Regions from separate parts of the Mus musculus genome. Here region 1 is reported to be linked to region 2. Evidence: microRNA targets listed by miRTarBase, many of them from high-throughput screens and not tested one by one. Region 2 holds a microRNA gene; the other region holds the end of a gene's coding sequence.
The links. The annotated mature microRNA mmu-miR-290a-3p reads AAAGUGCCGCCUAGUUUUAAGCCC and lies in region 2 at 3,031-3,054, opposite strand. An mRNA with a match to its seed (bases 2 to 7 or 8) in the 3' UTR can be bound and repressed. Matches are read on the target gene's strand: a 7mer-m8 pairs with bases 2 to 8, a 7mer-A1 pairs with bases 2 to 7 and ends in A, and an 8mer does both.

Region 1: miRTarBase lists Arid4b as a target of mmu-miR-290a-3p. Seed matches in the 3' UTR shown: 7mer-A1 at 3,781-3,787, 8mer at 3,663-3,670 and 7mer-m8 at 2,680-2,686.

Annotation. Positions count from the first base shown.
Region 1 is chr13:14,197,153-14,201,544 of GRCm38, reverse strand. Arid4b (AT rich interactive domain 4B (RBP1-like)) reads right to left here. Exons shown (of 24, transcript NM_194262.2): 24 at 1,942-3,939. The coding sequence ends at 3,812. Among named protein-coding and RNA genes, the nearest start is that of Gm26129, 110 kb to the right of the region's middle.
Region 2 is chr7:3,217,336-3,221,727 of GRCm38, reverse strand. It overlaps Mir290a (microRNA 290a), which reads right to left and starts at 3,102; the gene lies at 3,020-3,102. It overlaps Nlrp12 (NLR family, pyrin domain containing 12), which reads left to right. Exons shown (of 10, transcript NM_001033431.1): 10 at 1-218. It overlaps Mir290b (microRNA 290b), which reads left to right and starts at 3,033; the gene lies at 3,033-3,090. D7Ertd143e (DNA segment, Chr 7, ERATO Doi 143, expressed) reads right to left here and starts at 2,944. Exons shown (of 1, transcript NR_028425.1): 1 at 713-2,944. It also overlaps Mir291a, Mir292, Mir292b, Mir291b, Mir293 and Mir294, and 1 more gene.

The DNA of each region.
Region 1 (4,392 bases), not on the chromosome of region 2:
GAACTCAAGGGGGAGACCTACACCGTCACCAAGAGAGTACTGGACACCCTGCAAGCTGAAACCAGCCTGGCATTCCACAGGGCTCTTGATAAGAACACAGATACATGGCTCTGAAATAATGCACACCACTCACCCCCCACTCCAGGCCCTTTTTTTCTCTTGTGCTCCTTCCTTCCGAAACCAAGTTTAGACCTGAGCTTCCTTGAACGGCCTCAACGCAGAGTCCTCACTTCCGGACTCCCACGAATCTCACGTTCCCTCTGGTCCCAAGTTCCAGTCACTTCCGAGATGGGGCCTTGTCCCTCCATTCTGAACCCTTCTCCAAGCAGGCTGTGGCTGATCGGGACTCAGGAGCTGGGGAACTGATGGTTTAGGTCTCCTGTTTGTCGTGCTGCCCTGAGCCGATTAGGGAAACCTGGACTTGGGTGTACAAGAAGTCTGAAAAGCTGGCCATGAGCATGCGATCATCTCCTTATGGGTAAGTTGTAGGCCAACTTAAATTGACACGTCAATGATCAAACTGCAGCAGAGTGTGTACATTCCTCCTAGCCTGTTCAGACCTATTCTCATGCCTCAACTTCATGGTTTAGATGTGATGCATCGAAGCTCAAGAGTATTAGGTACAGGAGTCAGTTGGATCAGGTACAAGTTCACTGTCCTCATTCTTCAAGATTGTCTTCAAAAGCAAGAGCAATTTCTGGCCAGGAACCCACCTCTGTTCTGCCAGCCATCAGTATTACGTGCAGCTGGGGAAAGGAATACTAAAGAGAATGACAAGGGCCATGCAGCACTCTGTTGAGACTCCCCCTTTGTCGGTCCTTGTTTTCTTACCTGTGTAAGAGGAGAAAGGCAAGCTATGGAGTCTTGAAGACTCCTGGGCTCTGACTGAAACACCATCGAGTTTGTGCTACCACCCCCTTCCTCTCAAGTGGCAGCACATTTTTTGATACCTAACCCCCGCACTGGTTGCAGTGATATAGTACAAATTTGTTAGATGACTTTCAAGACCCTCTGACTATAAGCCCATCTCTTCCACTTTCTTCCTCCTTAAGTGCCACAATGAACATATTTGGGAGCAAGTGGCTTAAGGCCAGGTGTAGTGTACACACCTCTAATGCCTACACTTAGGAGGTAGGGGCAGGTAAATCTGAGTTGAAGGCCAGCTTGGTCTATATAAGAAAGGACTCTACACTGAGAGATTACAGATTAAATTGCTTCAGTGTTTTTTTTAAAAGATAATATACAATATATCAGGTAAATTAGGGCACCTTGGAAATGGGGAGAGGCATACTGGCTGGTTTAACAATGATTACTGGATTCCTGTAACAGGTACAGAGGTGTTACTCAAAGCAGAGCCAGAAAGGCTCCATCATATTAAATGACAAGAGACACTGTAGGTAATAATTCTGAGAAAAATAAAATTTTTTAAGAAACTACTGGTCTATAATACTGGCACTTTGAGTCTCAGGCAGAATTGAGAATCTGTGAGACTGAAACCAGGTTGGGCAATATAGCAATTTTATTCTCAAGAAAAAGGAAAAACAAGGTTTGTTTACTGAGACAGACTCCGTCTGTAGCTCAAGATCTAACTGCCTCAACCTCTTGAGGCTGGGGATTACAGGTATGGGCCATTATACACTGCAGAAACATCCTTTTCTATTGTGTATTTTGTGTATGTGAATGCAGAGGATAACTGCAGGAGACAGTCTTTCCTTCTACTATGTGGGTTCTAGGGATTGATAAATCAAGATTGGTCATCAGTGCTTACCTCTGCTAGCCCCAAAATATAGTTTTAAAATTGTACTTACCTTTTTCCTTCTTTGGACAATGCCCCCCTCCCCCCAACTGTAACAAAAAAATCTGTATTCAGACTCTAGCAAAGTTATATAATAACAGCCTAAAAACATCACTTTACTTACTTTTTTTTTTTTTCTTTTTTTTGAATTTACGGTTTGATTTGGTGCAGTGCTGCGAACTGAAGCCAAGGACTGGAGCACACTAAGTACATGCTATACAACCCAGCACTGTATAAAGGGACTTTTAATTTTGAACAGCGGAACACTCCCTTTGGGATACGGATGTGAGCCCTTGTGATAGGTAATACAGGCTGCATGGACTCTCAGCACTCATCACATACAAAGTGAACTCAAATTACTTTACCTTCTACAAACAAAATCAAGGATTCACAAACTATGGCATTTTATTTCAGAGCTTTTGCTTACATTTGTACAATATATTACATAATTCATCATGTTTGCAGATCCTAATATATACTTTATAGTTTTATTCTATAAGTTTTTTCTTCAACATTTTGCTGTCAACAAATCTTTACAGTCTGTACAAATTTGAGTAATTTGAAATCATTTTTCAACAAAATTAGTTACTGTAAGCACACATTACAAGACTGAAAATGCTTTTCTTAGAAAGGTTCAATGTAAAGGATTAAGGATTCTGACACGTTAGCATCTACAACAAAACGCTTCGAGATTCTCACATGTATTGCCAGAAAACAAATAAAACATGCCAGCCTCATTCAAAAAAAGCACACAGAATCACAATTAAAACAGTAAAACGGTCTGTACAGTGAAGTACTGTGTATTAACAGCGCCAGGTTTTAAATAGCCTCAATGAACACATCCGCAATATACAAATGTATTACAAAGGTGGGGAATTAAATACAAGTGCCAAACAGAGATTGGAATCATACAACATAAAGTCAATACAAGTGAAAACAGCTTGGCGTTCATTCTGCAGTTTATACAAGGCATTGAATTGTATAGGCCTACTACCCAACTAGCTACTTATACTTAAAATAATAACCATCTTTGTGAGGCAGGTCATATAAACAACCTTGAACCATTCTAACAGTTTGTTCCTGAAGTCTTTTTGTTGTAAGCTCATAATAAAATAAGCAATACAAATGAATTATCTGTATTTAAGGGAAAAGAAACATTTACAAGAAAACACAAAAATATAACTGTTATAATTCATTATGAATAAATATACACTTTGAACTGGCTAAGTACAATCTTTATACATTGTTTAAGATTTAATACAGTTTATTAGCCATTTTCTTTTTTCACACAATGTATTATATCAAAATTAAAAAAAAATACTGATTTATAGAAAAATGGCAAAGTACAGTAGTCCCATTTCAATTTGAAGGGGTGTGAAAAGCCACCACAGACCTTTTAGCCTAATTCAAACCTGTAAACATGTTCAGTCATTTTTAAAGAGAATCTTTAATATTTGGTTACCAGGATGATGTCTAATAATATCCTGTTAACTAACTGCAAGTCTTGAATTTGTTACATGTGCTTGACTTATACAATTAAAGTCACCCTAAAGTGACTTGCTTTAAAAAACAATTAGCTTGTACAAATGAAAATAGGTTCATATTTTTAATAAATGAATGGAAAAATATCAAATGTTCCAGCTTTAACAAAATACAAGGGAATACATATACAGTAAGTCTTCTCACATGTTCTGGCCCACCTTTTCTCTGCCTACTGTGTCGTCTCTACAGGCAGTGAAAAGCCTCCTCTGCCACAGTGGAAGGCCTTCAAGTTACCAGACACACGCAATTCCCAGACAAGTTGGAAACAATTATTGCTTGAGGAAAAGCAGTTCGTTGTACTTTTTCTTCATAAAAAAAGTGCACTTAAGTGCCAAGTCAGCTTGTCAAGAAATAATTTTTAAATATAAAATAGTGCTTGTCTGATTTTGTGTGTTTGTGTGCCACTGTGCAGTATAAAAAAAGATGTGGCCCTCAACAGCCATTAAGTGCAAAGTGCTCTAGCAAGTCCTGCTGTCACCTGCACTCAACTGACATTCCATTCTGTGATGCACTGGACATTGATGGTTCAGCTAGTGTCAACATAACAGCAGCTGTGATGGAGCTGGACGAGGGAGAAGAGGAGGAAGAAGATGTAGCAGCACCTGAGAAGAAGGAAGAGCACACGTGAGGCTACAAAGCAGGCTGCACTGGGAAGATGCAAAAAGCTCACTCAGCTTCAGCCTAAACTTCTCTTGTGTTCTCCAAAGTCAGTGTATAGGAGCCATCCCTGCACAAAGTACCACAGTATAAAGAAAGGGAAAGCCAGCAGCAGACTGTTGCCCATCTGCAAACCACAGACGGCAGAGCTCAGTGGCAACGGACTTGATGGGATTACAAGGACATTGGTTCTATTCCTAGCCCTGTCAAAGGAAAAAGAAAGCAAGGTGGAGAGGGAAGAGGGAGGGGAGGAAAGGATTTGTGTATACATACTGCAGAACACATAATTAAAGAGTAACTTTGTTCACTAACTACCCACACAGTTTTGAATGAAAACAGGAAAATTGTCTGTCTGCTACTTTTCTAATACCTCATTCTGCACCACTTTTCCACTAAAC
Region 2 (4,392 bases):
TTCGCATTGAATCTCAACACTCCAGAAAACTGAGCAAGGTGGCCAAGGATGCAGAAATCATGGCTGTGCATGACTCACGACCTGACACTAGTGAGGCCTGGCAGACATCATTCCCAGCAACCACGTGGTAGCTCCACCACTTATAATGGGATAACTCCGCCCACTTCCAGTACAGTACCCAGAGATCTACCTTTATTATATTAAATTCAAACGCTATCCAGAAGTCCCCTATATCCTCCCCCACACCCTGCTCCCCAACCCACTACTTTTTAAAACCTGGCACCACCCCATTTCAGGTTAGCTTGTAACCATCCAGACACTCCACTAAAAGGAACTGGCCATGATGTATAGAAATGGAAAAGACTCACAGTATATAAACAAATGTGGGCTTAAATGTGGCTATGCTTAAAGGCACCTTTAAGCTAGTACAGGGTAATTCTTCCTTAAAACCATTGGAGGGGTGGCATGCCTAAATCCCAAGAGGCAAACAGGGGTGTCTCCCAAAAGGTGCCCTATTACTGTTGAAAACACTTCCAGCTATGTGTTGGTTTAACTTTTGGGGATTTTTTCAGACAGGGTTTTTCTGTATAGCCCAGGATTACCTTTAGTCTCAACCCCAGTGATTAAAAGGGTGCTTGCATGCTTGCAAGCTTTTTTTATCCCTAGGAACCATGGCGGGTGTTTTAAAACAAAAACTGAGAAAGCAGCAAAATCAAGAGAACAAGACTTTATTATTCATGTTTGGAGGCTGAGGGCACTGGTTGCTCCCATAGCACCTTGGTTCATTCAATAGCACCCACATGTCCCAGTTCCAGGAAACCTTCATCTGGATTCAGATACACACTACACATGCATGAAAGCAGCCGACCTGTGAATGGTGCCCACAGGAGAGACTCAAAAGTAGTAGCACTTTCTATGTACAGTCCAGAAGTGTGCCCCACATTTGAGTCTCACCAAGATGAGCAAGCAAGGAGTCTCTGGTTGATTGAAGTTCCGATGCTTTCTCCACATGGCAACACACAAAAGGGAAGCACTTTCCACTTAAAAGCTTAGATAGGGCCTCCATTTTGAGTATGGCTATATGGAATTTCGCTAGATCCAAACATGCCTACAACTGAACTGAAGATTAAGGATTATTCAATGCCAAAAGGATAAATGCAGCTATATGTAATACAGTACCTGTCAAATCTGGGTCACTTCCCGTGAGGTTCCGTGCACCTCAGCTTTTACTTTTGCCCCATTACAGACTGAATCATACCCACAGATGACACCCAAATGATGCAACACTTAGGCCAACTGCAGTTTCTCAATCGGCAACACTACAAACTCTGCGGCACTTCTTACAAAGAACAAAATGTCACACAGTTTGAGTACCACAGATTGAAGCATTTCCACAGGGACCTGCTGTGGTAATAAACCTGAAACTTTATAGTCAGTTCTTAGCCAGACCAGCCAGCCAGGCAGGTTGAAGGCAAGTAAGTACCCCAGGCTAGGCAGGATTACATTCAACTCAACTGGAACACCTGAAAAACAAAGAGAATCCATGAAGATTATGCTTAGGGCACACAATGTAACACCTGTAATCCCAGCCCTCATGAGCCTGGGCTATTGTAAAGCCAAAAGGTATTATGGGTATTATCTACCCGGCTGTCCACCAAGCTTGTTTGTGCTAGGAGCCAGGTTAAAGTCAGCTACAGCCAGCAGGTCCTAAAAATTCAATCCAACCATATCAAGACTCACAACCATCAGTCCAACTACAGTAGTCAAGCAAGATATAGCAACTACAGTAGTCAAGCAAGATATATAGGATCTTTTAATCCCAGGTGGATGGAGCTGAGGCCAGGCTGGTCTACAAGTGAGTTAGCTCCAGGACAGCCAGGGCTACAGAGAAACCCTGTTTGGAGAAAAAGGAAAAAAATTGAAAGAGGACTTAATATGGCGGCCACGTGAGATTTAAAAGTAGGCCTTTCTTTACTCAGACCTGAGGCTTAGACTCACCACCCCTGGACCTGGAGTGCCTCCTTCCACCCTGCCCTGCTTCCTCCTCACCTCCAGCCTTGCAGCTCGAGTAGCCAGTGGCAACGAATTCACCTCCAGCACACATACCTGTTTCAAGCAGGTAAGCGATTCCAGGTTGCAGCTGCAGCCGGCTTTTCAGACGCCATGTACACACAGAGACAAACAAAATGGATGCACTTTCCCGCCAAGCCGCGGAGAGGGCCTCCACTTTGATCGACACTGTATGTTCCAACTTCCAAGACCTGAGGCTCAGCTCCTCCGAGCGAGGCCCATGTGGGATCCCGGCTCCTTTATGAACGCGGAAAGCCTTTAGTACCGCATGCGCCCAAGTGTTCGGACTCAAACCCACATGTGACACCCACCTGCCCAGAAATGCAACCCCAGTGAAAACATGACCCACTAAAACTTAATTCTTAGTTCTTAGCCGTTTTGAGTTCTCAACCGGTGACACTCAAAACCTGGCGGCACTTTTCTTCCGATGAAAATCCAAAAGAGCCCCCAGTTTGAGTATCACAGGCTGGAGGTCAAGCTTAAGAACAATCTACAATGCACCTGGACTCACGACTGCCTTACATCCATCCGCGTCTCGTGGCACCCAACTGAACCGCCCTCTTTAGGATAGGACCCATTAAACTCCAAGCCTAAACCCCCACACAGGTTGTCCGCTCCTGTAAACCGATGCGTCAGATGCAAAGCTATGATGTTTTCCCCATGCAGTGGCACACAAAGTGGAAGCACTTTCTCATTCAGGCTCAAGAGAGGGCCTCCACTTTGATGGCCGCTACATAGGTGTAACAGCTCCAAGCAGCGACAGGACGCACATGGAGCCCCCAGGTACCCTACAACGACCACCTCAGTTACCGTCTACTGGGCAGGATGCCCATCCCTAGCCTTTCGCTATACTCAGTCTCATTCCTTTCTTCGAATCCGTACTCACCACGCTGCAGTTAACCCGGAACACGTGGCACCAGGGCTGGTAAATGTGCCAGATAGCCGTTTTCTCAACCGGCGGGGCTTAAAACTAGGCGGCACTTTTTAAAGAAAAAAAAAAGTGCCCCCATAGTTTGAGTACCGCAAGATGAGGCGGTCCAGACGTTAAAACATTTACCAGGAGGAAAGAACGTGGAGAACTTAAAATTCACTCCAACCTGAAGGAAACCTGGATGAAATCAAGGAAGAGTTAGTACATCGGTCTAACTCAAGGTATAGTGAAACTCAAAATTTCTACAATGAAACCACGTAGTTAATGAAATGTACTGCATAGACTCCCTAGACCTGCCCTCAGTAACTCCTAGCTTTGGTTTCTGGTCCCCAAACTTCACTCGCGCCCAGACTACTCACTTTCCCCACATAGGCTCGTTCCTCCCTTGAAATTATGTAGACCAAGTCAGAAAAAAAAGCCCAACTCTTTTTCCACACACATTAGTTCTAAATGTCTTCTTTGGAGACCAGACCAACCTCAGATGGGCCTGCCTCTGCCTCGGGATTAGTAAACCCAGCCAAACCGTGGGGGCGAGCGAGGAAGGCTGAGTTCGCGGCTAGCCTGCCTTTTAAAAAAGGGGCTCTAGTTTTTAAAAAGTAGAATGAAGATGGCCGTGATGACCTTTAATCTGGAGGCAGAGAGGCAGGCAGAAATGAGAGTTAAAGGCCAGCCTGGCTAGTCATCTCCAAAGTTGAAGCAGGAAGATCTCTCTTCTGGAAATCCTGGATCTACTTTCGCCTCTCTAAACCAGGTAGATTAAAACCACAGAACTGAAGGAAATAAAAAATCTGAAACTAAAAATATTACCTTTGCCTATGTGAGAAGCAGCACGCCGGAGGTATCCCTGAAGACCGCAGAGACCAGCATTCCCGATGTGGAGTAGAAGTCTCTGAGAGGCGTGGGGGAGGCTCTAGGTTCTTATATAGTCTGAAGGCTCATTGGCCCCCTGGACTGGGAGGCTCTGATACCCCTCCCCCACCCCGGAGAATCCTTACTCTACCACCCTGCTTCCTCTGAGCTGAGTTTCCCTGCGGCAGAGTGACCTTCACTGGTTTCTTCTCCCCCCCACCCCCCAGAGGAAACAGATTTCTTTGTTTGTTTCTAGAAGCAGCGCCTTTAATCCTATAGTTTTCTAGGCCGAGGCTGGAGGATCTTTGTTAGTTCAAGGCCAGCTTGGTCTACTATGGTGACTAGGCACGGGACTAGGCAGGGCTACATTCAGTATTAAGATAATAATAAAAATAAATAAAGGAAGAATGTGGGAGGTTCAGTTTATTCTTTCGTTTGAATTTTTTTTAAATCCAGAGTTTCAAATCCTCCCTCTTTTTTACCTTTCTTTCTTTCTTTCTTTCTTTCTTTCTTTCTTTCTTTCTTTCTTTCTTTCTTTCTTT